Linked DNA regions of Anolis sagrei. The protein of the gene in region 2 interacts with the protein of the main gene of each other region in a biochemical or structural test. Links are inferred from orthologs where the notes say so. Each region holds a gene or a part of one and is shown on either strand. Other genes may lie near its edges. The genes, in order: RXRA, NRIP1, NR5A1 and THRA.

What was found.
Region 1: the proteins of NRIP1 (region 2) and RXRA form a complex in vitro, tested with the Homo sapiens proteins (2 studies listed by BioGRID). The link is inferred for Anolis sagrei from reciprocal best matches to the Homo sapiens genes NRIP1 and RXRA.
Region 3: the proteins of NRIP1 (region 2) and NR5A1 form a complex in vitro, tested with the Homo sapiens proteins (2 studies listed by BioGRID). The link is inferred for Anolis sagrei from reciprocal best matches to the Homo sapiens genes NRIP1 and NR5A1.
Region 4: the proteins of NRIP1 (region 2) and THRA form a complex in vitro, tested with the Homo sapiens proteins (4 studies listed by BioGRID). The link is inferred for Anolis sagrei from reciprocal best matches to the Homo sapiens genes NRIP1 and THRA.

Annotation. Positions count from the first base shown.
Region 1 is NC_090031.1:5,342,929-5,350,583, reverse strand, and holds the start of RXRA (retinoic acid receptor RXR-alpha), read left to right. Parts: upstream 1-4,220; 5' UTR 4,221-4,620; coding exon 4,621-4,648; intron 4,649-7,655. UniProt on the Homo sapiens protein: Receptor for retinoic acid that acts as a transcription factor.
Region 2 is NC_090023.1:61,573,236-61,581,423, forward strand, and holds the start of NRIP1 (nuclear receptor-interacting protein 1), read right to left. Parts: upstream 3,460-8,188; 5' UTR 3,147-3,459; intron 1-3,146. UniProt on the Homo sapiens protein: Modulates transcriptional activation by steroid receptors such as NR3C1, NR3C2 and ESR1. Also modulates transcriptional repression by nuclear hormone receptors.
Region 3 is NC_090031.1:247,418-255,135, reverse strand, and holds the start of NR5A1 (steroidogenic factor 1), read right to left. Parts: upstream 3,167-7,718; coding exon 3,065-3,166; intron 1-3,064. UniProt on the Homo sapiens protein: Transcriptional activator. Essential for sexual differentiation and formation of the primary steroidogenic tissues. Binds to the Ad4 site found in the promoter region of steroidogenic P450 genes such as CYP11A, CYP11B and CYP21B.
Region 4 is NC_090026.1:40,792,271-40,800,635, forward strand, and holds the start of THRA (thyroid hormone receptor alpha), read right to left. Parts: upstream 3,375-8,365; 5' UTR 3,022-3,374; intron 1-3,021.

The DNA.
Region 1 (7,655 bases), on a different chromosome or scaffold from region 2:
GGGAATCCCTTTGGCATTGTCATTTGGATTTACAGTGCTCTTTGGATGTAGGTGAACTACATCTCCCCTAAATCACTGTCAATCAATCCCAAATCACTCCAGAATTTTCTGTTGGTCATGGGGGTCTCATGTGTGGGAAGTTTGGCCCAATTCTATCATTGGTGGGGTTCAGAATACTCTTTGATTATAAGTGAATGGCAAATCCCAACTACAACTCCCAAATGTCAAGGTCTATTTTGCCCAAGCTCCACCAGTGTTCACATTTGGGCATATTGAGTATCCATGCCAAGTTTGGTCCGGATCTATCATTGTTTTGAGTCCACAGTGCTCTCTGGATGTAGGTGAGCTACAACTCCAAAACTCAAGGTCAATGCCCATCAAACCCATCCAGTAGGTGAACGATAAATCCCAATAACTACAACTCCCAAATGTCAAGGTCTATTTTTCCCAAGCTCCACCAGTGTTCACATTTGGGCATATTGAGTATTTGTGCCAAGTTTCGTCTGGATCCATCATTGTTTGAGTGCACAGCGCTCTCTGAATGTAGGTGAGCTACAACTCCAAAACTCAAGGTCAATGCCCATCAAACCCATCCAGTAGGTGAACGATAAATCCCAATAACTACAACTCCCAAATGACAAGGTCTATTTTCTCCAAACTCTACCAGTGTTCACATTTGGGCATATTGAGTATTTGTGCCAAGTTTCGTCTGGATCCATCATTGTTTGAGTGCACAGCGCTCTCTGAATGTAGGTGAGCTACAACTCCAAAACTCAAGGTCAATGCCCATCAAACCCATCCAGTAGGTGAACGATAAATCCCAATAACTACAACTCCCAAATGACAAGGTCTATTTTCTCCAAACTCTACCAGTGTTCACATTTGGGCATATTGAGTATTTGTGCCAAGTTTCGTCTGGATCCATCATTGTTTGAGTGCACAGCGCTCTCTGGATGTAGGTGAGCTACAACTCCAAAACTCAAGGTCAATGCCCACCAAACCCATCCAGTAGATGAACGATAAATCCCAACAACTACAACTCCCAAATGTCAAGGTCTATTTCCCCCCCAAATTCCACCAATGTTCACATCTGGGCATATTGAGTATTTGTGACAAGTTTTGTCTGGATCCATCATTGTTTGAGTCCACAGTGCTCTCTGGATGTAGGTGAACTACAACTCCCAAACTCAAGGTCAATGTCCACCAAACCATTCCAGTATTTTCTGTTGTTCATGGGAGTTCTGTGTGCCAATTCCATCGCTAGTAGAGTTCAGAATGGTCTTTGATTATAGGTGAATTATAAATCCCAGCAACTACAACTCCCAAATGTCAAGGTCTATTTTCCCCAAACTCCAAGGTGTGAATGTGTGGGCAAGGGAGAGTGTGTGAGGATGGAGGGAGGCTCATGCCAGTGAGTCCCTTCAAGATATGGGGATTCTGTGTGGGAAGTTTGGGTTCTATCCCAATTCCATCGTTGGTGGGGTTCAGAATGCTCTTTGATTGTAGGTGAACTATAAATCCCAGCAACTTCAACTCCTAAATGTCAAGGTCTATTTTCCCAAAACTCCACCAGTGTTCACATTTGGACATATTGAGTATCCATGCCAAGTTTGGTCCGGATCTATCATTGTTTTGAGTCCACAGTGCTCTCTGGATGTAGGTGAACTACAACTCCAAAACTCAAGGTCAATGTCCACCAAACCCTTCCAGTATTTTCTGTTGGTCATGGGAGTTCTGTGTGTCAAGTTTGGTTGAATTCCATCATTGGTGGAGTTCAGAATGCTCTTTGATTGTAGGTGAACTATAAATCCCAGCAACTACAACTCCCAAATGACAAAATCATTATCACCCCTCGCCGAACCCCATCAGTATTCAAATTTGGGCATATCAGGTATTTCTGTCAAAATTGGTCCAATGAATGAAAATACATTCTGCATATCAGATATTTACATGGTTGGGGGTCACCACAACATGAGGAACTGTATTAAGGGGTCACGGCATTAGGAAGGTTGAGAACCACTGCCCTATGAGGAGCGGCTTAAAGAGGAAGCAGCCAAGCCTTGAAACTGCAGGTCCATTCAAAATCTGGCTACCAGTATTAATTAAAACACTCTAAAATCAGGACAGCAAGTAAAGAACAACACTCAAAAAGCAGGGGAACAATCAGGCTCAACTCCCAACAAAGGATTCCTGCAGGCAGCAACCAGCCAAGCCTTGAAGCTGCGAGTCCATTCAAAATCTGGCTACCAGTATTAATTAAAACACTCTAAAATCAGGACAGTAAGTAAAGAACAACACTAAAAAGCAGGGGAATTGCAGACAAGAAAATATCTGGTACATCTAATACCTCCCAACAAAGGATTCCCCCAGGCAGGAAGCAGCCAAGCCTTGAAACTGCAAGTCCATTCAAAATCCGGCTACCAGTATTAATTAAAACACTCTAAAATCAGGACAGTAAGTAAAGACACTCAAAAAGCAGGGGAATTCCAGAAAAGAAACAATCAGAATCACCTCCCAACAAAGGATTCCCGCAGGCAGCAACCAGCCAAGCCTTGAAGCTGCAAGTCCATTCAAAATCTGGCTACCAGTATTAAAACACTCTAAAATCAGGACAGTAAGTAAAGAACAACACTCAAAACATGGGAATTCCAGACAGGAATCAATCAGGGCCATATAATGCCTCCCAACAAAGGATTCCCCCAGGCTGGGAGCGGCCAAGCCTTGAAACTGCAAGTCCATTCAAAATCTGGCTACCAGTATTAAAACACTCTAAAGTCAGGACAGTAAGTAAAGAACAACACTCAAAAATCAGGTGAATTCCAGACAAAAAACAATCAGGCTCAACTCCCAACAAAGGATTCCCCCAGGCAGGAAGTGGTCAAGCCTTGAAGCTGCTAAGCTTTTCAATGCAAATCAAGGTGGTCAATTGCAGCATTTCCACTTGCTTCCAAGAGACAGAGTGGACATCATTCCCCAGATATAGAAACCCAATTTCCCTAGTTTCCAACAGACTTCACAACCTCTGAGGGTGCCTGCCATAGATGTGGGCGAAACGTCAGGAGAGAGTGCTTCTGGAATATTTCCAGACATTGTATTGCCGAAGGCTTTCATGGCCGGAATCACTGGGTTGTTGTAGGTTTTTTCCGGGCTATATGGCCATGTTCTAGAGCAGTGTTTCTCAACCTTCCTAATGCCGCGACCCCTTAATACAGTTCCTCATGCTGTGGTGACCCCCAACCCTAAAATTATTTTCGTTGCTACTTCATAACTGGCATTTTGCTACTGTTATGAATCGTCATGTAAATATCTGATAAGCAGGATGTATTTTCAATCTCTGGACATTGGGAGTTATAGTTGCTGGGATTTATAGTTCACCTACAATCAAAGAGCATTCTGATCTCCACCAGAGATAGAATTGACCTAAACTTGGCACACAGAACGCCCATGACTAGCACAAAATAATGAAAGGGTTAGATGAGCATTGGCCTTGAGTTTGGGAGTTGTAGTTCATCTATCTCCAGCAAGCACTGTGGACTCAAACAATGATAGATCTGGACTGAACTTGGCGCAAATACTCAATATGCCCAAATGTGGACACTGGTGGAGTTTGGAGATAATAGACCTTGACATTTGGGAGTTGTAGTTGCTGGGATTTATAGTTCACCTACAATCAGAGAGCATTCTGAACCTTACCAATGATAGAATTGGGCCAAACTTCCCACACAGAACTCCCATGACCAGCAGAAAATACTGTGTATCCTGATGGAGTTTGGCGACCCCTCTGACACCCCGTCGCGACTCCCCCAGGGGTCCCGACCCCCAGGTTGAGAACCACTGTTCTAGAGGCATTTTCTCCTGACGTTTCGCCTGCATCTATGGCAAGCATCCTTAGAGGTAGTGAGTTTTTTCAGACAGCCTGGAAAACTCACAGCAACCCAATGATTCCAGCCTTCGACAAGAGTTGGCAAAGGCTGGCGAGAGAGGCGACAGTTCCCAGCATTCCTCTTTTTTTTGGTGTGGGGGAGTTTTGGGATTGATAGTCCTGGCCACGACTTAGAGGGATGCCCAAGGTCTAACTTGGGTTTTGTTTGGTGTCCTTCCCTTTTGGCGAGGTTCTTTAAGTCCCCCCCAAAGCGCCTCAATGGCGTCGTCCCTCGCGTTTCCCCCTTCGTGAGTCGGGTCCCCCTTGGAGTTTCTTTTCTTTGGAGACACGCAAGCCACGCGAGCGCGCGCGCGCAGGCGCTCGTGCCCGCGCCCACCCACGAGAGCGCGAGCCCAAGTACTTTTTTCCCTGGGTATTTTTTTCCTTCTTCTTCTTCTTTCTCCCTCTTTTGAGTTCCCTTCTTCTCTGGACGAGTTTTTGGAGAGGCGCAAAAGGGGAGAAAAACAAGGAAAGTCGGCCTTCTTTTCCTTCTTTTCCTTGGACTTTTGTATTATTCCGGATTTTTGTCTTGTTATATTTTAGAGAGAGGGGGAGGGCTTGCTCTGCTCCTAAAAGGCGGACCGAGAGGAGAACCAGAGACCCTCCCCCTTTCCCAAAAAGAACACAACAACAAAACAAGAAACCTCTCCAAAATCCATCTGGCAATGAGTTAAAAAAAAAGCGGCGCAAAGAAGGAGATGGACACCAAACATTTCCTCCCTTTGGGTGAGTTTTTGGGGGGCTCTTCCTCCCCCGATTTTTCCTATATCCTTTAGGGGAAAAAGTGGGGAATCAAGGGGGGAAAAAGAGAGAGAAAAAGGGGGAGGATTGGAGGAGGAAGAGGAGCACCCCAAACAACAACAACGTCAAGGCGAGATGCGTAAAAAGCCGTGCGTAAAAGCGCACGCGTTTGGGGGGCTTGCAAAAAAGCCCCTTTTCCAAGTAAAGCTTTTGGGGAACCCTCCCCCAAAGGGTCCAGTTAGACAAAAGAGGGTCTCAGGATGGTCCCCATATAGGTTATATGCGTCTATGTCTTTCTATAATGGGGGAGTGTCCCTTCTTTCTCGCCATGCCCAATGCAGAGAGAGCAGTTGCTTTCTCCACTCTGGCTCGGCTTGTGGCAATGGAGCCAGGCAGGCCTTGGAAAGGAAGGGGAAAGGGAGCCTTTGGGGGTGTGTGGTTGCGGCTGTCGTTGTGTTCTCGGCCCTCGGTGGTTGCCTCTTGGGTTGACACGGCTTTGGGGGAGTCCCAACTGGCTGCCTCGGCTCAAAGAGTGTTTTGGGGGAGCTCGAAGTTCAGTCGGACGGGAAGCGAGGAAAAGGGTTTGCGCTTTGGAGAGAAGTGGCCCAGAGAGAGAAAGAGAGAGAGAGTGTGTGTGTGTGGACTGGGTAAACTGCACTAGGATCTGGGCCCTTCCTTCCTTCTTTCCTCCTTTCCTTCCTTCTTTCCTTCCTTCCTTCTTTTCTTCCTCCTTCCCTCTCTCCCTGCCTTCTTTCGTCCCTCCCTTTCACTTTATTTCTTTTTCTTTCTTCCCTTCTCTCACTCTCCTTCCTTCCTTCTTTCCTTCTTTTCTTACTCCCCTCCCTCCCTGCCTTCTTTCCTTCCTTCCTTCTTTCGTCCCTCCCTTTCACTTTATTTCTTTTTCTTTCTTCCCTTCTCTCACTCTCCTTCCTGCCTTCCTTCCTTCCTTTTTTCCTTCCATCTTTCTTCCTGCCTTCTTTCCTCCCTCCCTTCTTGCCTTCCTTTCTTCTTTCTTTCCTTACTTCTTTCCTTCCTTCCTTCTTTCCTTCCTTTCTTCTATCATCCCTCCCTTCTTTCTTTCCTTCCTTCTTGCCTTCATTTGTTCCTTGTTTCCTTCCTCCCTTTCACTTTATTTCTTTTTCTTTCTTCCATTCTCTCTCCTTCCTTCCTTCTTTCCTTCCTTTTTCCTTCCATCTTCCTTCCTTCCTTCCTTCTTTTCTCCCTTCCTTCTTTCTTTCTTTCCTTCCTTCCTCCTTGCCTTCATTTCTTCCTTGTTTCCTCCCTCCATTTCACTTTAATTCTTTTTCATTCTTCCCTTCTCCTTCCTTCCTTCCTTCCTTCCTTCCTTCCTTCCTTCCTTCTTTCTTTCTCCCTCCCTTATTTCATTCCTCCATTCCTTTCACTTTATTATTTTTCTTTTTTTCCTTCTCTCACCTTCCTTCTTTCCTTCCTTCCTTTCTCTCTTCTTTCCCCTTCCTCCCTTATCTCTCTTCTTCCACCCTCCTTTCACTCTTCCATTCTATTCCTCTTTCTTCTATTTCTTTCTCTCTCTCCTTCCACCACTCCTTTAACTTGTATTTTTCTATTTATTTATTTTCTTCCTTCTTCACTTCCTTCTTTCTCTCCTTCCCCTTCCTCTCTCCCCCTCCCTTTTCTATTTCTTTCTTCCCTTTTCTCTCACTGTCCTCCCTCCTTTCCTCTCTTTTTCCTCCCCTTTTCTTTCATTCTTTCATTCTTTCTTTCTCTCTCCCCTTCTCCTTCCTTCATTCCCCTCCCTTTCGGTCCCCCTTCCCCTCTCTTTTCTATTTCTTTCTTCCCTTCTCTCTCTTTCCTCTTTCTTTCTTTCTTTCTTTCTTTCTTTCTTTCTGTCTTCCCTTCTCCTTCCTTCCTTCCTTCCTTCCTTCCTTCCTCTCTCTCTTTCTCTCTCTCTCTCTCTCTCACCTTCCTTCCTCTCTTCCCCATCCCCTATTTTTTCTATTTCTTTCTTCCTCTCTCTCTTTCCTTCCTTCCATCCCCTCACTTTTTTCTATTTCTTTCTTTTCTGCTTCCTCTTTCCTCCCCTCTTTGGACCCTTCCACACCACCTTATAACCCAGAATATCAAGGCCGATGATAATCCACAATATCTGCTTTGAACTGGATTATCTGAGTCCACACTGCCATATCATCCAGCTCAATGTGGATCTTATACAGCTGTGTGAAAGGGGTCTCACGTTCTTCCTTTCTTCCCTACCCCTTCCTTCCTTCCTTCCTTCCTTCCTTCCTTCCTTCCTTCCTGGGTTTTATTTTAAGATTTACTTTTGTATGCTTTGAATTGTATAGTTTCCAAAGGTTGTGAGCTGATTTGGGTGTTGTGCCTTGAGTTAAAAGCAAGGTAATAATAGTAATAATAATAATAATAATAATAATAATAATAATAGTAATAGCAATAATATAATAATAGTAATAATATAATAATAATATAGTAATATAATAATAATAATATAGTAATATAATAATAATAATAATGGTAATAATAGCAGCAACAACAATTCCTCCCTCCTTCTACTTTCTTTTTCCCTCCTACTTTCTTCTTCTCTTCTCGTCTTCCCTCCCTCTTTCTTTCTTTCTTTCCTTCTCTCTCTCTTTCTCTTTCCCTCTCTTTCTGACTTCCTTTCCTCCAGTTTTTGGAAGTTGGCATTGGGCGGAGAGTCTCCGAAGGAGGGGAGGAGGAGACTTTTGGAAGCTCTCTGCAGGAAATCCAAAGAAAGAAGGGAACGAAGGAAAGGAGGAGTGCGAGCAGGCCTGGGAGTGTTGCGAAAGGCCACCACCGCTCCTTCTCCCTCTTTGGGTGTCCCACTAAATAAAAAAGCCTTGTTTTTAAATGTCCGAAACATGCCATTCCATGTAGGTACTTTCCCAAGTTTTGGGCCATTATAGGAATCCACCTCATAATGTATTTGGAGTCAAATACTTTTGTGGAGAGTGCTTTCTGTTTGGAGAGATTTGTGTCT
Region 2 (8,188 bases):
TAATGTTACCAAGAATAACCTTCTATCATTTTATAAAACTCTTAGTCATGAGCCTGTGTTTTCAATTACAATCCCTCAAGAATTAAAGGTGTGTGTGTATATATATCTTTGGATTCATGTTCTCTGTTAGCAGCACTGGATCATGATAAGGTGAGATGTTGTTATCAGTATATGGAGCAACAGACGGCGCAAGGGCTTTAAATAGAGACCTTTGCCTCAAAAGAAGACTGGTTACAGGAGGGCACAAAAGTGTATATATGATCAAAATGATGAGAAAGCACCTTTTACGGAGGATGGTGTGGGGGTTTGTCTGTGACACATGAGAGGGGGCGGAAGAATCATGACTAAAAAATCTGAAGGTCTCCAGCCCTGGTTGGGTGCATGTGTTTGGATATGGAAAGGGAGTGAATAAATAACAGGAGCTGAGCAGAGACTGACATAAGGCATGGCCTTGCCTGGTGTGGTTTTGCAGGCGACTAAGGAGGGGAGATCATCCCTTTGAAAGGAGAGCTGAGGAGGAAGAGGAGGAGGCAAAGAGGGGAGACCAAGGGGGCACCCCAACTGTGGAATGGATGCAGTCAGAGACCCCTTCTACACAGTTGAATAAAATCCTATATTTTCTGCTTTGGACTAGAATATATGACAGTGTGGATTCAGATAACCCAGTTCAAAGATTTTTTTTTTCATGTCAGTAGCAACTTGAGAAACTGTAAGTCGTGTCTGGTGTGAGAGAATTGGCGGTCTGCAAGGGCATTGCTCAAGGGACACCCAGATGTTTGATGTTTTATCATCCTTGTGGGAAGCTACTCTCATGTCCCTGCATGGGGAGAGGGAGCGCAAACTGCACTCCCCAGATTCTACCCACTCACCTATCAGTCTTCAGTCCTGTCGGCACAAGGGTTTAACCCATTGCACCACCCTCTATTCAAAGATGGTATTGTGGGATTTTCTGCCTTGATATTCTGAGTTATATGTTTGAGTGTTGACGGGCCCTTTTTTGTGTCACGAGAAGCTTGAGAAACTGCAAGTCGCTTTTGGCATGAGAGAACTGGCCATCTGCAAGGACATTGCCCAGGGGAAGCCCAGGTGTTTGATTTTTTACCATTCTTGTGGGAGGCTTCTCTCATGTCTCCGCATGGGGAGCTGGAGCGGACAGAGGGAGCTCAACCCGCTCTCCCTGGATTTGAACCACTGACCAGCAATCCTGCCAGCACACAAGGGCTCAGTGCTCTGGAATCATAGGGCCCTTCCACACAGCCCTATATGCCAGAATATGAAGGCAGAAAATCCCACAATATCTGCTTTGAACTGAGTTATCTGGGTCTACACTCAGATAATGTGGGCTTTTCTGCCTTGATATTCTGGCAGATAGGGCTGTGTGGAAGGGCCCATAGCCACGTGTAGCTTGGTGAGGCGGCAGCACTCTTGGGCAGAGAAGGCGTAAGACCTTGTAAAACTGCAACACCAGAGAGTTTTAGCACAGAGCCATGGCAGTCAAAGTGCATGGATCTTTCAAAGCTGTGCGAGCCTGTGCCCAGCTTGGCTTCCTGAGAGGCGCCGCCGCAGCCATGGCGCACAAGACTTGGGATAATTCAGGGAAAGGGGGGGGGGGGCTTCTTGGCATCCCTATATCCCAGAATATCAAGGCAGGAAATCCCACAATATCTGCTTTGAATTGGCACCCCACCCCCCTCCACAAAGCTGAATAAGATCCCACATTATCTGCTTTAGAACTGGAATATATGGCAGTGTGGACTCAGATAACCCAGTTCAAAGCAGATATTGTGGGATTTTCTGGCTTGATATTCTGAGTTACATGGTTGTGTGGAAGGGCCCTGGGTTATCTGAACCTATACTCAGGGCCCTTCCACACAGCCCTATATCCCAGAATATGAAGGCAGAAAATACCACAATATCTGCTTTGAACTGGGTTATCGGCGTCCACACTCAGATAATGTGGGATTTTCTGCCTGGGTATTCTGGGATGTAGGGCTGTGTAAAAGGGCTGGGGAATACAAGGCAGAAGAGGTGAACATTTCAGGGGATTCCTGGTGATTTCAATCAGTCAAAAGAGGCACTGAGGGGAAGGGGGAGACCCCAACTTTTCCCTGCCCACCCATGTCTAAGGGCCCTTCCACACAGCCCTATATCCCAGAATATCAAGGCAGGACATCCCACAATATCTGGTTTGAACTGAGTTATCTGAGGGCCCTTCCACACAGCTCTATATTCCAGAATATCAAGGCAGAAAACCCCACATTATCTGAGTGTGGATGCAGATTACCTAGTTCAAAGCAGGTATTGTGGGATTGTCTGTCTTGATATCCTGGGCTATAGGGCTGTGCGGAAGGGCCCTAAGGGATGATCAAACTTTAAGTGTCCAACGTTTTGTTGGCGGCTTTCATGGCCAGAATCACTGTTTTTTTGTAAGTTTCCCAGACTGTCTGGCCATGAAGCATTATCTACTGACATTTCGCCCAAATATGTGGCAGGCATCCTCAGAGGTTGAGAGGTCTGTTGGAAACTAGGAAAATGGGGATTGTATATCTGTGGGTTGTCCAGGGTGGGATAAAGAACTCTTGTCTGTTGGAGGTAGGTGTCAATGTTTCAATTGGCCGTGTTCTAGAAGCATTCTCTCCTGACGTTTCGCCTGCATCTATGGCAGGCATTCTCAGAGGTTGTGAGGTTGTAAGGTGTCCATTTCAGAGAGGGAAAGGTGGTGGTGGGTGGTGGTGGGGGGATTGAAAACCTGCCTGCCTGCTACCGGAAACAATGTTGTTGATATGCTCCCTCCCTCCTTCGGGAATGACAGCTCCTAGCCTGGCTTCCCGAGCTTGTTATTCAAAGGCGAAGAAGACTAATGAGAGGCTCCCTTTGCGCCCTGAGCCCTCTCGCCTCTTGGCTCCGCGCTCCTGCCCATCTGCCAGGGCAGCGCCTCTGCCTCCCTCTCTCTCTCTCTGCCTTCTTCTCCCTCTGCCTCTCCCCAAAGCCCCCCGCCAACCTCCGCGGCCATTTCCTCCGTCCCTCCTGCTCCTCCTCCTCCCTCTCTCGCCCTTCCTTCCCCCTCCGTAAGAGGGGAAAGGCGGCCCAGCCAAGCCACGGTGGCAGCAGCAGCAGCAGCGTCGCCAAGCAGGCACTCGACTCACCCTTGGCCGCCTCGCTCTGCTTGGCCTCTTCTCCTTTGCCTCGCTTGGCCAAAACGCCCGGGCTCCGGAGGCTTGAATGGCCAGGGAAACGGGGAAGGCGCAGAGCAGGGAGGAAGGCAGGCGTCTCTCGCCCCCTCGGGTCTCCTCCTGCGCCTCTCGCTGGCTCTCCACAGGAAAAGACGCCTCGAGTCTCCTCCTCCTCCTCCTCTTCCTCCTCCTCTCTCTCCGGTTCGGGGCTCTGCTGCAATGCCTGTGAGGCTGACTTTCAAAGCTTCACCCGCAGCCTGTGATCCTCCCTCCCTCCCTCCTCTCCCGCCTGCCCTCTCTCTCTCTCTCTTCTCTCTCCCTCCCTTTCTCTCTCCCTCCTCCTTTCCGCCTGTCACAATCCCTCCACCCGCCTCCTCTCCTCGCCATTCATCGCTCCAGCCAAGTTTCTCACTGGGTTTTCTTCCTTCCCCCCTTTCTCTCTCTCTCTCTCTCTCTCTCCCCCGCCACCCCCTTGACACAGGAAGGCAGATGCCTTGGGAAGCCAGGGCGGGGAGGGACACCTCCAGGCTCGGTCGGGACTGCACGCAGCTTCCCTCAAACCCTTCCTGTTTGTTGGTGACACACTTTGAAGGCAGGCTTCCTTTTGCGACAGTCACGCAGGTTTACTAGCAAAGCCCAAGGTTCAACAGACCCTTGAGAAGAGGGAAGGGCCAAGACATAGTAGCCATTGTAACAAGGAATACAATACATCTCGGGGGGGGGGGGGGGGAGAAATGATGGGTAACATCATAACATATTCCAAAGATGTTTTTTCTTCTCATTTCTCATAACATTTACACACTACAGCAGTGGTTCTCAACCTTTCTTTTGACCAGGGACCACTCTCCAACATTAGTACCAAAAGGGTTACAAATCAGTTTTCAGTCAACTTTAGATTCTCTTTGGTTATTTGAGGTGCTGATTCAGAAAATGGCATTGGGTAGACCACATCAGCTCCAGTAGGAGTCCCCGGTGGTACTTTACTTACTTCCTTAGGCGATCCCTCGTTGTCCGAGTAGGATAGTCTTCCAAGATCAATGTACTGGTGGTGGGTCTGTAGGTGACTGTGGAGCCCTATTCCCACTTCAAGGTGCAGGTTCTTACCTACAAAGCCCTGAATGGTTTGGGACCTGCCTACCTGCATGACCACATTTCTGTGTACGAACCCACATGATCTCTTTGATCATCTGAAGAGGCCCTACTCACGCTCCCACCTCCATCGCAGGCGCAATTGGTGGGGACGAGGGAGAGGGCCTTCTCGGTGGTGCCCCCCCCCCCGACTCTGGAACTCCCTCCCCAAGGATATTAGGCACACCCCAACTTTGGCAATTTTTAGGAGGAGCTTGAAAACGTGGTTGTTCCAGTGTGCCTTCCCAGAATAAGGAAACTCCCACCAATATGTTCCTAATTACACCTTATTAGTGATCTAGAACTGTCTGTACACCCCATTCTTTTCCGAAATTCTATTCTAGTTATATTTCACCTGGTCTTGTCCCGCATTATTTTTTTAATTTTAACTATTACATTTGGCCCAACCATTGGTTTTTAAATGTTACTGTGTTATTATCGATGTTTACTGCCTATTTTTTGTTTATGAGTTTTATTTTATTGTTTTGTATTACTGCTTTGATGTTTTTTGCTGATGTACTGTGGGCTCGGCCTCATGTAAGCCGCGTCGAGTCCCTTGGGGAGATGGTAGCGGGGTATAAATAAAGTTTTATTATTATTATTATTATTATTTATTCTTGATCTGCATCTTCTCCCACCAGGCATGTAGCCGGGGGGGGGGGGGGCTCGGGGGGCTTCAGCCCCCCCCCCCCCCGAAATTCTCATGGTGGTTCGCGAAAAGGCTTTACTGGTGCATTACTTAAACTGTTATGTTTATTCATATCATGATCTGATCACCATACTCAATATATCCCATATGCATGGGGGTATTGGGGTAATGATACAAAAGGTTTGCTAGGGTAGACACTCTTTCACTCAGACTCAGCCCCCCCCTGAAACTCATCCCCCCGAAACCCCCCTGAAAAAAATTCACACCCCCCCCCCCCCGAAACGAAATCCTGGCTACGGGCTTGTCTCCCACAGTGAAGGGCATTGGTTTCCAGGTGGAAGGTGGTCTCGATCAGGGTTGGCTTGACGCGCCTTCCTCTTGACACGTTTCTCTCTTTCACCCTCCATTCATGCCTCTTCAAATTCTACAGCACTGCTGGTCACAGCTGACCTCCAGCTAGAGCGCTCAAGGGCCAGGGCTTCCCAGTTCTGTGCCAGAGTTTTTAAGGTTGGCTATGAGCCCATCTTTAAATCACTTCCTGCCCACCAACATTCCGTTTTCCATTCTTGAGTTCGGAGTAGAGCAACTGCTTTGGGAGACGGTGGTCGGGCATCCGGACAACGTGGCCGGTCCAGCGGAGTTGATGGCGGAGGACCATCACTTCAATGCTGGTGGTCTTTGCTTCTTCCAGCACTCTGACATTTGTCTGCTTCTCTTCACAAGAGATTTGCAGGATTTTCCAGAGGCAGCGCTGGTGGAATAGTTCCAGGAGTTGCATGTGATGTCTGTAGACAGTCCACATTTAGCAGTTGTATAGCAGGGTTGGGAGGACAATTGCTTTATAAACAAGCACCTTGATATCCCTACGGATGTCCCAGTCCTCAAACACTCTCTGCTTCTTTCAGAAAAAAGCAGCACTCACAGAGCTCAGGTGGTGTTGTATTTCAGTGTCAATGTTGACTTTTGTGGAGAGGTAGCTGCCAAGGTACTGGTGGCTGATCAACATTTCCCCGGTGGTGCGGTGGGTTAAACCCCTGTACTGGAAGGACTGAAGACCGACAGGTCGAAGGTTCAAATCCAGGGAGAGCGCAGATGATCTCCCTCTGTCAGTTCCAGCTCCCCATGGGGGGGGAGGGCATGAGAGAAGCTCCCCACAAGGATAGTAACACATCAGAAATCTGGGCATCCCGAGGGTAATGTCTTTGCAGACGGCTCTAGTCAGCTCTAGTTTCTGATACAGAAGATACAGAAGATACAATATACCATTCGGTAGTCATCATCGGTTTGCCCACAAAAAACCCCCCACCTATTTAATAATCTAGAGCTGATGTTGTAGTAGTACCCTTTCATGAGGAATCAGCCTCTCCCCTTCTGACATCCCTGTTGCCTTGGCACTGTAAGAGGGTTTCGTGAGATCAGTCACTCTCAATGCCACATGGTTTCGAGGCAATGGTGTACTAATGGTGAGGCTACAGACCATATTTTCGTTCTTGGGGACCACTGGTGGTCCATGGACCACTGCACTATAGCAAACACATTAACACATGTATGGGCAAACGTTGGCCCTCCAGTTGGTTTGGACTTCAACCATTACTAACAGTCTCGGGCCCCTTCCTTCCCTGCTCAGCTGCTTATGCTTATGTGGCTAAGGAGAAAAAAGAAAGGGTCTGAGGCTGTTAGGAATGGTGAGAGTTGAAGTCCAAAACACCTGGAGGACCAACATTTGCCCATACCTGCACTAACCTGTCACAAAACAGTTTGGAAAGCTCTGCTCTGTCAGGAATCTACAGCCCCGAAAACTCACAACCCAACAGTAGTATAGCCTGTTTATTTTTGTCTCAAAATGGTGAAGTAAAATTATAATAATGCACCAGACAGGCAATGTTTTATATTGCTAGTTTTCCAGAGATGTCACACCTTGGTTAAACTGGGATGGTTTAAAAATGTGTTTAAATATGCCCTTTTGCAGGGTTCACATCACTTTCCACATAGTCTTTGAGCAACATAGTCCTGGACAAAAGTCTCCATCCTCTTGCCCTGCCTCGGTGACTATCAGAACTAAACATTTGCCATGTTGAGGTAGAAAAAATATATAAAAATATACTACTGTTGGTTAGTTGTGAGTTTTCCAGGTTGTATGGCCATATTCCAGAAGCATTCTCTCCTGACATTTTGCCCACATCTATGGCAGGCATCCTCAGAGGTTGAGGATTCTGTTGGAGACTAGACAAGTGAAATTTATATATCTGTGGAATGTCCAGGGTGGGGGAGTGAACTGTTGTCTGTTTGGCACTGCAGAGTAATTCAACCTGATATGTCAGCCATAGCAGAGCATCTGATCAACCAGCTTGGACACAGCATATTATCCGAGAACACAGAAATGCTGGACCACTCTAACAACACCATGTCAGACTACACAGAGAAGCCATTGAAATCCACAAGCAGGTGGACAATTTCAACATGAAAATGAACAAAATTTGGCTACTGGTATTTAAAAAGTACTCTAAAATCAGGGCAGTAAATAAACAGCAACACTCAAAAAACAACAAAGTTCCAGGCAGGAAACAATCAGAGCCAGCTAACACCTCCCAACAAAGGATTCCCCCAGGAAAGAAGCAGCCAGGCTTTGAAGCTGCAAGACCATTCAGTGCCAATCAAAGTGGCCAGTTGCAACAGTCACACTTACAGCAAGCAGACAAAAGTTCTTTCCCCACCCTGGACATTCCAGAGATATATAAACCTCACTTACTTAGTTCCCCCCCCCCAACCTCTGAGGATGCCTGCCATAGATGTGGGTGACATGTCAGGAGAGAATGCTTCTGGAATATGGCCATAAAATCCAGAAAACTCAAAGCAACCAGTGATTCTGGCCATGAAAACCTTTGACAACACTACTACTGTTACTACTATGAATAATAATAGTAACAACAACAACAACAACAACAACAACTTTACTTAAATTACATCCTTTTTTCAGGAATCCAAGTCACCTACTAATGAACATACTTTCAAATAATACTAAATTCACCAATTACAGATCATTTCTTTTAAACATGCAATGCAATAGTCAGCTCCCACCATCTAAAAATCTTGAAGAGAGTCTGCTGTCTGGTATTATTTGTACAGTTATATACATTGTTTCAAGGGTTTTTGCATCAGAAACATCTTCTAAACCTCCAAACATAAGGTAGTTGAAATACAGAAAAGGCACAACAACTTAAGTTCGGTGGGTGGGATT
Region 3 (7,718 bases), on a different chromosome or scaffold from region 2:
TTATCATATTATATTGTATTTTCAATTGTATTAATACATTATAATATTATATTATATTGTATTTATTATTATATTCATAAATTATTATATTATTATATTGTATTTATATATTACTATATTAGTATAGCAATACATTATATTATTTTATCATATATTATATTGTATTTACAATTGTATTAATACATTATTATATTATATTATATATTATATTCATATATTATTATATTATATTAATGTATTATATTCTATTTATATATTGCTATATTAGCATAGCAATATATTATCATATATTATATTGTATTTACAATTATGTTAATACATTATAATATTATATTATATTGTATTTATTATTATATTCTTATATTATATTAATGTATTATATTGTATTTATATATTACTATATTAGCATAGCAATATATTATCATATATTATATTGTATTTACAATTGTATTAATACATTATAATATTATATTATATTGTATTTATATATTATTTACTATATTTATATGTCGCCTTTCTCGACCCCGACTCAAGGCGGCTCACAACATCGGCAATAATGCAATGCCTTAAAAACAATATACAATTAGACAAAACACAAAGTATTGCAAAAACAATATACAATTAAAAGGAGAGCATGGTTTAAAAACCAATATATCTTATGGGAAAGTAGGTGTTTTATTATAATATAATATTGTATTATAATACTGATATTGTGCTATGCTAATAATATAATATATATATATTGTGTGTGTGTGTGTGTGTGTGTGTGTATATATATATATCTTGTAAGCCGCTCTGAGTTCCCTTTATATGCTGCCCTTCTCAATATACAATTAAAAGGAGAGCATGGTTTAAAAACCAATATATCTTATGGGAAAGTAGGTGATATTGTGCTATGCTAATAATATAATATTATCACACTGTACTATACTACTATACTGCAATATTACTAGTCACATTAATATATGATTAGCATAGCACAGTATTAGTATGATTTATTATCACATTGTAGTATACTACTATATTATTTATCTATTTATACTGCAATAAATAAATGATATATTATACGTATATCTAATATATTATTAGCATAGCACATAGCATAATATTATATTATAATATTATAATGGTATACGTATATATACTATATTATTAGCAAAGCACAGTATTAGCATGATGTATTATCACACTGTACTATACTGCAATATTACTAGTCACATTAATATATTATATTATTATTATAATATTATATATATTATATTATATTATATTATATTATATTATTAGCATAGCACAGTATTAGTATGATTTATTATCACACTGCACTATACTACCATACTGCAACATTACTAGTCACATTAATATATGATTATATTATAATAATATTGTATGTATATATAATATATTATTAGCATAGCACAGTATTAGTATGATTTACTATCACATTGTAGTATACTACTATATTATTTATCTATTTATACTGCAATAAATAAATAATATATTATACGTATATATAATATATTATTAGCAAAGCACAGTATTAGTATGATATATTATCACACTGTACTATACTACTATACTGCAATATTATTTATCTATTTATACTGCAATAAATAAATAATATATTATTATATTATAATATTATAATGGTATACGTATATATACTATATTATTAGCAAAGCATAGTATTAGTATGATGTATTATCACACTGTACTATACTGCAATATTACTAGTCACATTAATATATGATTATATATATATATATATATATATATATATATATAATATTATATTATATTATATTATATTATATTATTAGCATAGCACAGTATTAGTATGATTTACTATCACATTGTACTATACTACTATACTGTAATATTACTAGACACATCAATATATTATTATATTATAATAATATTCTATGTATGTATTATATATTATCAGCATAGCACAGAATTAGTATGATTTACTATCACATTGTAGTATACTACTATACTGCAATAAATAAATAAATATTATTATATTATAACAATATTATTATAATATTATACGTATATATATTTTGAGCATAGCAGAGTATTAGTATATTATCACACTGTCCTGTACTGCAATATTACTAAACACATTAATATATGATTATATTATATTTTAATAATATTATATGTATATATACTATATTATTAGCATAGCACAGAATTAGTATGATTTACTATCACATTGTACTATGCTACTATACTGCAATAAATAAAAAAATTATTATATTATAACAATATTATTATAATATTATACGTATATATATTTTGAGCATAGCAGAGTATTAGTATATTATCACATGTCCTGTACTGCAATATTACTAAACACATTAATATATTATTATACTATATTTTAATAATATTATATGTATATATATATTATTAGCATAGCACAGAATTAGTATGATTTACTATCACACTGTACTATACTGCAATATTACTAGACACATTAATATATGATTATATTATTATAATAATAATATTATATATATTATATTATATTATATTATATTATATTATATTATATTATATTATATTATTAGCATAGCACAGTATTAGTATGATTTACTATCACGTTGTACTATACTACTATACTGCAATATTACTAGACACATCAATATATTATTATAATATATTATAATATTATTATTATATTATATTATTAGCATAGCACAGAATTCGTATGATTAACGATCACATTGTACTACACTACTATACTGCAATATTACTAGTCACAGTACATTATATCCGCAATTATATATACTAGTAATAGTAATATACTAATGATATGGTATCAAGGCAGACCATGCACAGGATGCGCTTCATACTTTTGGATCCCGATTATTTCCTATCAGGAGTGCGCAAAAGTTTCCGAAGCCGGGGCGCCTTGATGGGACCCTTCTCCCACACAGCCATGGAGCCCAGAACATCAAGGCAGGTGACCCACCAGGTGGGCTTTGAGCTGGACTATCCGAGTCCACATTGCCATAGAATGCATCTCCATGTGTCCTGGGGTCTTTGGGGGTCTTACCTTGCAGCTCTCGCAGGTGAGCAGCCCGTAGTGGTACCCCGAGACCTTGTCCCCACACACCGGGCACAGCTCGTCCAGGTCTTCGTCGTAGGAGTAGTCCATCCTTCACCTAGGAAGGAAGGAAGGAAGGAAAGGAAGGGAAGAAGAAGAAGGGAAGGGAGGAAAGGAAGAAGAGGGGAGGCTTTTATAGAGCAGGGCGGCTGAGGCTGATGCTGATGCTGCTGATGCGCCTGATGTGCCCTCCTCTTTGGAGGGAGGAAAAAACACAAAACAAAACAAGGGGAGAAAGAAAGAAAGAAAGAAAGAAAGAGAGGGAGGAGGAGGAGGAGGGAGAAAGAAGGCGGCCAAAGGAGAAAGGAGGGCCCAGCACCCCCTGGAGACCCTCCAGCAAGAGAGGGCTTACTTTGGGGGGCCCGGCACCCCGACAGATGGCCACCACACCTCTGTTTCGAAACCTCCAAAGAAGGTACAAGGAAAGGCTTTCCCCTGGCATTAAGTCCAGTCCAGTCCGACTCTGGGACTCTGGTGCTCATCTCCATTCCTAAGCCAAAGAGCCGGCGTTGTCCGTAGACACCTCCAAGGCAGGACTGCACAGAGCACCCTTACCTTCCTATTGATCTACTCACATTGGCATGGTTTCGAACTGCTAGGTTGGCAGAAGCTGGGGCTGACAGCAGGAGCTCACCCTGCTCCCCGGATTCGAACCGCTGACCTGACTGCATGGAGAGCCCTTACCTTCCTATTGATCTACTCACATTGGCATGGTTTCAAACTGCTAGGTTGGCAGAAGCTGGGGCTGACAGCGGAAGCTCATCAACTCTGGGACTTTGGTGGTCATCTCCATTCCTAAGCCAAAGAGCCGGCGTTGTCCGTAGACACCTCCAAGGCAGGACTGCACAGAGCACCCTTACCTTCCTATTGATCTACTCACATTGGCATGGTTTCGAACTGCTAGGTCGGCAGAAGCTGGAGCTGACAGCAGGAGCTCACCATGCTCCCCGGATTCGAACCGCTGACCTGACTGCATGGAGAGCCCTTACCATCCTATTGATCTACTCACATTGGCATGGTTTCGAACTGCTAAGTTGGCAGAAGCTGGGGCTGACAGCGGAAGCTCATCAACTCTGGGACTTTGGTGGTCATCTCCATTCCTAAGCCAAAGAGCCGGCGTTGTCCGTAGACACCTCCAAGGCAGGACTGCACAGAGCACCCTTACCTTCCTATTGATCTACTCACATTGGCATGGTTTTGAACTGCTAGGTTGGCAGAAGCTGGGGCTGACAGCAGGAGCTCACCCTGCTCCCTGGATTCAAACCGCTGACCTGACTGCATGGAGAGCCCTTACCTTACTATTGATCTACTCACATTGGCATGGTTTCAAACTGCTAAGTTGGCAGAAGCTAGGGCTGACAGCAGAAGCTCACCAACTCTGGGACTCTGGTGGTCATCTCCATTCCTAAGCCAAAGAGCCGGCGTTGTCCGTAGACACCTCCAAGGCAGGACTGCACAGAGCACCCTTACCTTCCTATTGATCTACTCACATTTGCATCTTTTCAAACTGCTAGGTTGGCAGAAGCTGGGGCTGACAGCGGAAGCTCTCCAACTCTGGGACTCTGGTGGTCATCTCCATTCCTAAGCCAAAGAGCCGGCGTTGTCCGTAGACACCTCCAAGGCAGGACTGCACAGAGCACCCTTACCCTCCTATTGATCTACTCACATTGGCATGCTTTCGAACTGCTAAGTTGGCAGAAGCTGGGGCTGACAGCGGAAGCTCACCAACTCTGGGACTCTGGTGCTCATCTCCATTCCTAAGCCAAAGAGCCGGCGTTGTCCGTAGACACCTCCAAGGCAGGACTGCACAGAGCACCCTTACCATCCTATTGATCTACTCACACTGGCATGGTTTCGAACTGCTAAGTTGGCAGAAGCTGGGGCTGACAGCAGAAGCTCACCAACTCTGGGACTCTGGTGGTCATCTCCATTCCTAAGCCGAAGAGCCGGCGTTGTCCGTAGACACCTCCAAGGCAGGACTGCACAGAGCACCCTTACCTTCCTATTGATCTACTCACATTGGCATGGTTTCGAACTGCTAAGTTGGCAGAAGCTGGGGCTGACAGCGGAAGCTCTCCAACTCTGGGACTCTGGTGGTCATCTCCATTCCTAAGCCAAAGAGCCGGCGTTGTCCGTAGACACCTCCAAGGCAGGACTGCACAGAGCACCCTTACCTTCCTATTGATCTACTCACATTGGCATGGTTTCGAACTGCTAGGTTGGCAGAAGCTGGGGCTGACAGCGGAAGCTCTCCAACTCTGGGACTCTGGTGGTCATCTCCATTCCTAAGCCAAAGAGCCGGCGTTGTCCGTAGACACCTCCAAGGCAGGACTGCACAGAGCACCCTTACCTTCCTATTGATCTACTCACATTGGCATGGTTTCGAACTGCTAGGTTGGCAGAAGCTGGGGCTGACAGCAGGAGCTCACCCTGCTCCCCGGATTCAAACCGCTGACCTGACTGCATGGAGAGCCCTTACCTTCCTATTGATCTACTCACATTGGCATGGTTTCGAACTGCTAAGTTGGCAGAAGCTGGGGCTGACAGCAGAAGCTCACCAACTCTGGGACTCTGGTGCTCATCTCCATTCCTAAGCCGAAGAGCCGGCGTTGTCCGTAGACACCTCCAAGGGCATGTGGCCATAGGCATGACTGCATGGAGCACCCTTACCTTCCTATTGATCTACTCACATTTGCATGTTTTCAAACTGCTAGGTTGGCAGAAGCTGGGGCTGACAGCGGAAGCTCATCAACTCTGGGACTCTGGTGCTCATCTCCATTCCTAAGCCGAAAAGCCGGCGTTGTCCGTAGACACCTCCAAGGGCATGTGGCCACTGGCAGGACTGCATGGAGCACCCTTACCTTCCTATTGATCTACTCACATTTGCATGTTTTCAAACTGCTAGGTTGGCAGAAGCTGGGGCTGACAGCGGAAGCTCACCAACTCTGGGACTCTGGTGGTCATCTCCATTCCTAAGCCAAATGTCTGGCGTTGTCCGTAGACACCTCCAAGGTCATGTAGCTGGCAAGACTGCATGGAGCGTCCTTAACTTCCCACTGGAGTAGTACCATTGGCATGTTTTGGAACTGTTAGGTTGGCAGATGCTGGGGCTGACAGCAGGAGCTCACCCTGCTCTCCGGATTCGAACCGCTGACCTGACTGCATGGAGTGCCCTTACCTTCCCGCTGAAGCGGGTACCTACCCATCTACTCACATTTGCATGTTTTGGAACTGCTATGTTGGCAGAAGCTGGGGCTGACAGCAGGAGCTCACCCCGCTCCCCGGATTCGAACTGCTGACCTGACTGCATGGTGCGCCCTTACCTTCCCGCAGGAGCGGTACCTACCCATCTACTCACATTTGCATGTTTTGGAACTGCTATGTTGGCAGAAGCTGGGGCTGACAGCAGGAGCTCACCCCGCTCCCCGGATTCGAACTGCTGACCTGACTGCATGGTGCGCCCTTACCTTCCCGCTGGAGCGGTACCTACCCATCTACTCACATGTGCATGTTTTGGAACTGCTAGGTTGACAGAAGCTGGGGCTGACAGTGGAAGCTCACCAACTCTGGGACTCTGGTGCTCATCTCCATTTCTAAGCTGAAGAGCCGGCATTGTCCGTAGACACCTCCAAGATCATGTGGCCACTGGCATAACTGCATGGAGCACCCTTACCTTCCTTTTGATCTACTCACATTCGCATGTTTTCCAACTGCTTGGTTGGCAGAAGCTGTGGCTGACAGCAGGAGCTCACCCCGCTCCCCGGATTCGAACCTGTGACCTTTCGGTAAGCAAGTTCAGCAGCTCAGCGGTCTAACCCACTGCGGGCCCCCATTACATTATTATATTGTATAATAATGTAACACAATGCTAATAATACAAAACAATATAATAATTATTATATCTATACAAATAAGAAGGCAACGTTCATTTGTGGGATTAACAGAACTCCAAAACCACTGGATGAACTGAGACCAAATTTGGCCACAAGATACCTCTCAGGCCAAAGAGTGACCATCACTCATGAAAACATTGAAAAACACAGCAGAAGGGACTTAAAAGGCCAAAAAACCCAAAAATTACATTACAACACATGCACAAAACCACATATATATATACACGCAAACACACATATACTCATATACACACATAGACTGAGCCACAGCAACACATGCAGGGGACGGCTAGTATATTATACATTACATGTAATTTTGCAAAAACCCCCCCCTCACACACACACACATATGTATATACACGCAAACACACATATACTCATATACACACATAGACTGAGCCACAGCAACACATGCAGGGGACGGCTAGTATATTATACATTACATGTAATTTTGCTAAAAATATTGCATTATATATATGTGTGTGTGTGTGTGTGCGTGCATTTATTAATTCTTGGAGTCCTCGTGGACAACAAGTTAAACATGAGCCAACAATGTGATGTGGTGGCAAAAAAAGCCAATGGGATGTTGGCCTGCATCAAGAGGAGCATAGTGTCTAGATCTAAGGAAGTCGTGCTCCCCATGCTCTATTCTGCCTTGGTTAGACCACTTTACCTGGAATATTGTGTCCAATTCTGGGCACCACAATTCA
Region 4 (8,365 bases), on a different chromosome or scaffold from region 2:
TACTATGCCGTCCCCCTTGTCCCCCCTCCCTTTGCCCAAAACCAGGCTTGTGATCCGCCAGCCACATGCCAAACGTCCTTATTTTTAAAGAAAATATTTACTCATATTTCTCCCGCTTTTCCAACGCCAAGTGAGAAAACACCCTCCCCTTTCCCAAACTCCTCCGGCCAATGTCAAAACTACTTTCCTAACCTTTGCAACTCCTTTTTAAAACAGTAACAACAATAATAACAATTGCAAACAGGAAGGAAGAGATTCATAAACGGGGGGAAGACGAGGGAAGATATGAATCCAACCTAAAAAGCATATACAAATACATATTTATATCCTTGGCAGTTGCAAGAATCTCTGGATTGCTGTGAGTTTTTCAAGCTGTATGGCCAAGTTCCAGAAGCATTCTCTCCTGACGTTTCGCCCACATTTATGGCAGGCATCCTCAGCGGTTGTGCGATCTGTTGGAAGCTAGACAAGTGGGGTTTATATATTTGTGGATGGGAGAAAGAACTCATGTCTGCTGGAGGCAAGTGTGAATGTGGCAATTAATCACCTTGATGAGTATACAATAGCTCTGCAGCTTCAAAGCCTGGCTGATTCCTCCCTGTGAATCAAACTTATCTCCAACACACAATAGTTCTGTCTTTCACCTTGGACCTTCCACAGATATATAAACATTACTTGCTTCATTTCCAACTGACATCACAACTTCTGAGGATGCCTGGCAAAGATGTAGGCGAAACGTCAGGAGAGAATGCTTCTAGAACGTAGCCATGCAGCCCGGAAGACTCACAGCAATCCAGTGATCCTGGCCATGAAAGCCTCTGACAACACAGTGCAATGTTTAATTCCAGAAGGGAATGTGCAAGGGAGGGGGTATAACTCAAATCCCAGTCCTATGTGTTTGTGTATATGTGCGTGTGTATACACACACACACACACACACACTAGCCATTCCCTGGCATGCGTTGCTGTGGCCCAGTCTGTGTATATGTGTTTTGTATGTGTATATATATTTGTGTATATATGTGTGTATGTGGTTCTGCACATGTGTTGCAATGTATTTTTTTGCTTTTTAAGCCTCTTCTGTTGTGGTTTTCAGTGTTTTTGTGAGTGATGGTCATTTGTTGGCCTGATAGGCGTCTTGTGTCCAAATTTGGTGTCAATTCCTCCAGTGTTTTTTGAGTTATGTTAATCCCACAAACAAACATTACATTTTTATTTATATCGATATACATACACACACATATATATGTGTGTGTGCATATATATGTGAGTGTATATAGATATATATATACGTACATATATATACACAATTCCTCCAGTGTTTTTTGAGTTATGTTAATCCCACAAACAAACATTACATTTTATTTATATCGATATACACACATATATATGTATGTGTGTGCATATATATGTGTGTATATATATATATATATATATATATACACACACACATATATATCTCTTTGTGCATATATATACAAATATGTGTGTGCATATATATGTGTGTATGTATGTATATATACATGCATATATATGTCTGTGTGTGCATATATATATGTGTGTGTGTATAGATATAGTTTTTCCTCCAGTGTTTTTTGAGTTATGTTAATCCCACAAACGAGCATTACATTTTTATTTATATAGACATACACATATATATGTGTGCGCATATATATGTGTGTGTATAGATATATATACATACACATATACACACACATATATATGTCTGTGTGTGCATATATATACAAATATGTGTGTGCATATATGTGTGTGCATATATATACATACATATATATACATACATATATATGTCTGTGTGCCTATATATACAGATGTGCGCGCGCATATATATGTGTATATATATATACACAGATATATATGTCTGTGTGTGCATATATATACAGATGTGTGTGCATATATATGTGTATAGATATATATACACAGATATATGTCTGTGTGTGCATATATATACAGATGTGTGTGTGCATATATATGGTTGTGTATATATATACATACATATATATGTCTGTGTACCTATATATACAGATGTGTGTGCGCATATATATGTGTATAGATATATATACACAGGTATATATATATCTGTGTGCGCATATATATACAGATGTGTGTGTGCATATAATGTGTGTGTGTATATATACATACATACATATACATACATATATATGTCTGTGTACCTATATATACAGATGTGTGTGTGCATATATGTGTGTATAGATATATATACACAGATATATATGTCTGTGTGTGCACTTATATACATAAGTGTGTGTGCATATATATATATATATATATATATATATACATATACACATGTGCATGTGTGTTTATATCTATGACATATTTTTAAACCTCAAGTTGGCACAACAACTCCCGTCCAAGCCCTTTATATATATTTTCCTGCAAACCCCAAGTTGGCACCAATCTCTTGAGCAGCGCAGTAAACAAACCAGGAAAAACACACATACACACACATATTTTTTAAAAGGGAAGTGTCTACAACTACAGAGCTGTCTCTCTCTTTTTTTTCTCCTCCTCCCCCTTTTATTTTTTTGCCCCTCCTTTAAAGCACTCTCTCTCTCCATTACTGGAGAGGCAGAACATATAGATATATAGATATATATATAGGTTAATGCCAAGCAGGGGGAGGAGGGGGAGAAAGAGAAGAGTAAGTGATGAGATTAAAGGAAGAGAGAGAGAGAGAGGGAGGGGGGAAAAACAGGGAGAGAAGGGATTGCTCTCCATATGAAATCCCTCCATGGAAAAGAGAAGGGGAGGGTGGGAAAAGGGTGGGAAAAGGGGGGAACCCTCCCCAAATCTTCAGATTTGCAACGTTGGCAGTGACAGGAACAGCTGCGATGGGACGGGGCAAGGAGGGTGGAGACAGCTGGAAAAATATATCTACATACATATACAAGGCTCAAAAGAGGGAAGACATATTGGGGTTCAGGAAGGACACCCTCTCCCTCTTCCAACCAAGCCACTCTTTGCCCACAAGCTTACCTTTGGCTGCTTCAGCGTCGCCTTTGCTCTCTCTCTCTTTCCCCCCCTCCCTTCTTCTTTGCAAGCAGGAAGCTGGCGTGGTGCTTGCCTTGCCCCCCCCCCTCCCCTTCTTCTCCTCCTCCCTCCTTTCCAAGCTGGAGTTTCCCTTGCTCTTCTTCTTTGGAGGAGGAGGAGGAGGAAGAAGAGAAGGAGGCGCCACCGACGAGGAGGTTTGTAAGATCCTGGAGGAGGAGGAGAAGCAGCAGGAGCAAGGGCAGCGGCGCTCGCCTGGTGCGTTGGTGTCACTAGAGCTGGGGAAATGGACTCGAGAGGCGAAGGGAAGGAGGCCGGCCCTGGCTCCTCCTCCTCCTCCTCCCTCTCCCTGCTTTTGCTGCTTCTGCCTCTCTTGCTGTTGCTGCCACCGCCGCCTTAGCTGACGCCTGCACCCTGCAGGCCGAGGGCGCGTGCTGCCAGGGAAAGAAGGAAGGAAAAGAGGGAAGGAAGGAAGGAGGAAAATACTCCCACCTCTCTCCCTCCCCAAAGAGGCGTCCCGAAGGCAAGTTAGTTGGACATGGCCTTCGGAATCCACGCAACTCCTTAACTACCCCGGCTCAAGGTTGTGGGATCCTGGGAGTTGTAGTTTTGCAAGGTCTTTTGAGTTCTTGCAACTCTAGCTGCTCGGGCTCAAGGCTGTGGAATCCCGGGAATTGTAGTTTTGCAAGGTTTTTTAGAGTCATTGCATGGCTCAAGGTTATGGGATCCTGGGAGATGTAGTTTTGCAAGGCCTTTCTGAATCATTTGCAATTCTTACCTGCCCAGGCTCAAGGCTGTGGAATCCTGGGAGTTGTAGGGTTGCAAGGTATTTTGAATCCTTGCAACTCTAGCTGCTCAGGCTCAAGTCTACGGAATCCTGGGAGTTGTAGTTTTTCAAAGCTTTTTAGAGTCAATGCATGACTCAAACTTATGGGATCCTGGGAGTTGTAGTTTTGCAAGGTCTTTTGAATCCTTGCAACTCTTGCTCAGGCTCACGGCTATGGAATCCTGGGAGTTGTAGTTTTTCAAAGCTTTTTAGAGTCAATGCATGACTCAAGGTTATGGGGTCCTGGGATTTGTAGTTTTGCAAGGTCTTTTGAATCATTGCAACTCTCAACTGCCCAGGCTCAAGGCTGTGGAACCCTAGGAGTTGTAGTTTTGCAAGGTTTTAGAGTCAATGCATGGCTCAAAGTTATGGGGTCCTGGGAGTTGTAGTTTTGCAGACTCCAGGCTATGGAGTCCGGGGAGTTGTAGTTTTGTAAGTTTTTTTTAGAGTCAATGCATGGCTCAAGGTTATGGGATCCTGGGAGTTGTAGTTTTGCAAGGTCTTTTGCATCATTGCAACTCTAGCTGCTCAGGCTCAAGGCTGTGGAATCTCGGGCATTGTAGTTTTGTAAGGTTTTTTAGAGTCAATGCATGGCTCAAGGTTGTGGGATCCTGGGAGTTGTAGTTTTGCAAGGACTTTTGAATAATTTGCAACTCTCAACTGCCCTGGCTCAAGGCTGTGGGATCCTGGGAGTTGTAGTTTTGCAAGGTCTTTTAGAATCAAAACATGGCTCAAAGTTATGGGATCCTAGGAGTTGTAGTTTTGCAAAGTCTTTCTGAATCATTTGCAACTCTTAACTGCCCAGGCTCAAGGCTATGGAATCCTGGGAGTTGTAGTTTTGCAAGGTCTTTGAATCAATGCAATTCTAACTGTCCTGGCTCAAGGCTGTGGAATACTGGGAATTGTAGTTTTACAGGGTCTTTGGCATCATTGTAACGTTAATTGCCCACACTCAAGGCTGTGGGATCCTGGGAGTTGTAGTTTTGCAAGGTCTTTCTGAATCATTGCAAGTCGTAACTGCCCAGGCTCAAGGCTGTGGAACCCTAGGAGTTGTAGTTTTGCAAGGTTTTAGAGTCAATGCATGGCTCAAAGTTATGGGGTCCTGGGAGTTGTAGTTTTGCAGACTCCAGGCAATGGAGTCCGGGGAGTTGTAGTTTTGTAAGTTTTTTTTAGAGTCAATGCATGGCTCAAGGTTATGGGATCCTGGGAGTTGTAGTTTTGCAAGGTCTTTTGAGTCCTTGCAACTCTAGCTGCTCAGGCTGAAGGCTGTGGAACCCTGGGAGTTGTAGTTTTGCAAGGTTTTTTAGAGTCAATGCATGGCTCAAAGTTATGGGATCCTGGGAGTTGTAGTTTTGCAAGGTCTTTTGGATCCTTGCAACTCTCAACTGTCCAGGCTCAAGGGTATGGCATCCTGGGAGTTGTAGTTTTGCAAGGTCTTTTGAATCATTTGCAATTCTTAACTGCCCTGGCTCAAGGCTATAGAATCCTGGGAGTTGTAGTTTTGCAAGGTCTTTTGAATCCTTGCAACTCTTGCTCAGGCTCAAGGCTATGTAATCCTGGGAATTGTAGTTTTACAGGGTCTTTGGAATCATTGTAACGTTAATTGCCCAGGCTCAAGGCTGTGGGATCCTGGGAGTTGCAGTTTTGCTAGGTCTTTGGAATAATTGCAACCCTGCCTACAAATGACATCTGGCTCAGTGAAGGTACTGACACTTTGTTTTTTCCCTTTGTACTAGTTGAGTATCCCTTACCTGAAATGTTTGGAATCAAAAGTATTTTGGGTCCCATCTACACTGCCATATAATCCAGTTTCTGAATCCAGATTGTCTGCATTGAACGGGACTATACGGCAGTATAGACTCATATAATCCAGTTCAATCTAGATTTAGAAACTGGATTATATGGCAGTGTAGGTCCAGCCTTGGATGTCCAATTTTTTTATTATTTTGGAATCCCTGTATTTGCATACATAATGCGATATCTTGGAGATTGAATTCAGATCTAGACAGTAAATTACTTTATGTTTCATATGCACCATATACAATTGTCCGAAAGGTCATTTTACACAATATTTTAAAAATAATTTTGTGCATGCGACAAAGACAAATGAGCAAATCAAATGGACCAACAGAAACCGTTTTACCTTGCACATTTCATGAAATGACATGACTCCTTAGAAAAAAATAATAAGGAAACGAGAATGGGTTCATCTACACTGTAGAATTAATGCAATTTGATGCCACTTTCACTGCTAGGACTCAGTGCTATGGAATCCTAGAAGTTGTAGATTAGATCCCAGCATGCTTTGGCAGAGAAGGCTAAAAACCTTGTAAAGTTATAAATCCTATTATTCCATCGTATTGAACCATAGCAGCTAAAATAGCATCAAACTGCATTCATGTTGTGCCCAAAGTCAAAGCCAACTCAATGTGAATTAACAGCAACACATTTTATGTATTTGGAGAAAGATTGAAAAGCTGCCTTTTGCATTTAGCGATTTCTGCTGTGTATATCTATATCTAACACTTGCATTGGTCTTCTGCCCTCCATGCGCCATCTATATAAATAAAAATGTAATGTTAGTTTGTGGGATTAACATAACTCAAAACCAACTGGGTGAATTGACACAAAATTTGGACACAATACACCTATCAGGCTAATGAGTGACCATCACTCATAAAACACTGAAAAACACAACAGAAGGGACTTAAAAAGGCAAAAAAGCAAAAAGATGCTACAGCGCACGCGCAAAAACGACTCCCCCAGCAAACAAAACACACAATAGCATAGCCACACTTGCTTCCAGACTACAGCTCCCAGCATCCTCTAGACCAGGCCCTTTAGGAGGAGAGGATGATCCAAATGCACTGCTTCCAAGATGCAAGCTTTCTTCTCCTTGGATTTCTATGAAAGCATCCCAATCTCTCCATATTTCCAATTTCCTATTCCCGGACTGTAACTGCCAGCAATCCTCCAGATAGCTAGATGACATAGAGATAGATAGACAGAGAGATCAGGAGGACTGGTGGGAGTTGCAGTCCAAGAATCGGTAGAGAAGGAAGAACAGGGAGAAAGAAGAAGGAGAGAAAGGGGCGGGAGGAATAGTCCAACAATAAACAATCATAAAATGACTAATAAACACTGGACATAAGAAAGGAAAAGTGGAGAAGTCCACCTTTGCAGCACCTTTGAGGCATAGTTTTGTTCATGATACATATGATGAAGCTCATACTGAAATATATGAAATATATACCCCTTGATGAATTGTCACCTTGTCGTTGTGAGGCGGCTTGCATGTTTCAATGAACCTATGGGCATAACCACTAGATTCATGCACTCCTGGGGGGGGGGGTGCACAGGGGAGGTTCCAGACCAAGCACAATCCGAAGACCTCAACATTGGATCAGGCAGAAGATAACATGGCACATGTTACAATGGCTGTGAAGGCAGAAGAAGGTTGCACCAGATTGAGAAGCCACTGTCGTGGTGTTAATTACGCCACTGGTTGGGACCCCCACTCTGTGAAGACTGCGTTTTGATTGGCTGTGAACCAACTTCCACATATTTAAAAAAAAACACAAGTGTCTTCCAAGAACTTGAAAGGCCATCACACTTGGACTATGAGGAATCGCTTAGGAGGAGGACTGAACTATATCACTCTGTCTCAAGTGTACTTTCAAATGTCACTTGCATATTCCTTATTTTAGGACAGGTTAATAAGGTTATTGCCTCAAAAATTGTGAACAAGCATTGAGTAGACATACATACTGGGCTCTTAGTAGACTTTGTTCTTGTGGGACATCCTGCAGCACATTTTTCTAAAGTTTTTCAATGAATATCACATCGAGTCTCGACTAATTTAACATATGAGGGATATCTGGAAAGTATAGTTACAAGATTTTTTAAAAATACTAAGAATGAATATATTTTAATAAAACTTACATGGATTATAGCATTATTTTCCACATAATCACCATTCAGTTTAATACATTTTGTTATCAGTATGATGAATTGTTATGCCTGTGTCATAGAAGTTTCTTTCCACCTTTTTCATCCAGTTCGTCACTTCGATTTTCACCTCATGGTCAGAAAAGTGTTTTCCACCAAGGTGTTCCTTCAGTTTAGTGAACAGATGATAGTCACTGGGTATGAGATCGTGGCTGTGAGAGCGGTGGCTGAAAACACCCCAACCAAATGAAGTCAATAACGCTTGTGTTGCATGAGCGGTGTGCAGACACACATAGTCATGAAAGAGACAGACTCCCGCCATCAGCATCCCACGACGTTTGTTTTGGATGGTACTGCAAAGTTTCTTCATGGTCTCACAATATCTTGCAGCATTGATTGTTTTACCTCTTTCAAAAAAAAAAATCAATAAGCAGACCTCCTTTTCTGGCCCAAAACACTGATTCCATGAATTTTCTCACGATGAATCGCAGCGGCTTTCATACACTTAGTATTTAGGTAGCGTATTATAGCGCAAATTTTGCACTTGGAGGGAAACGG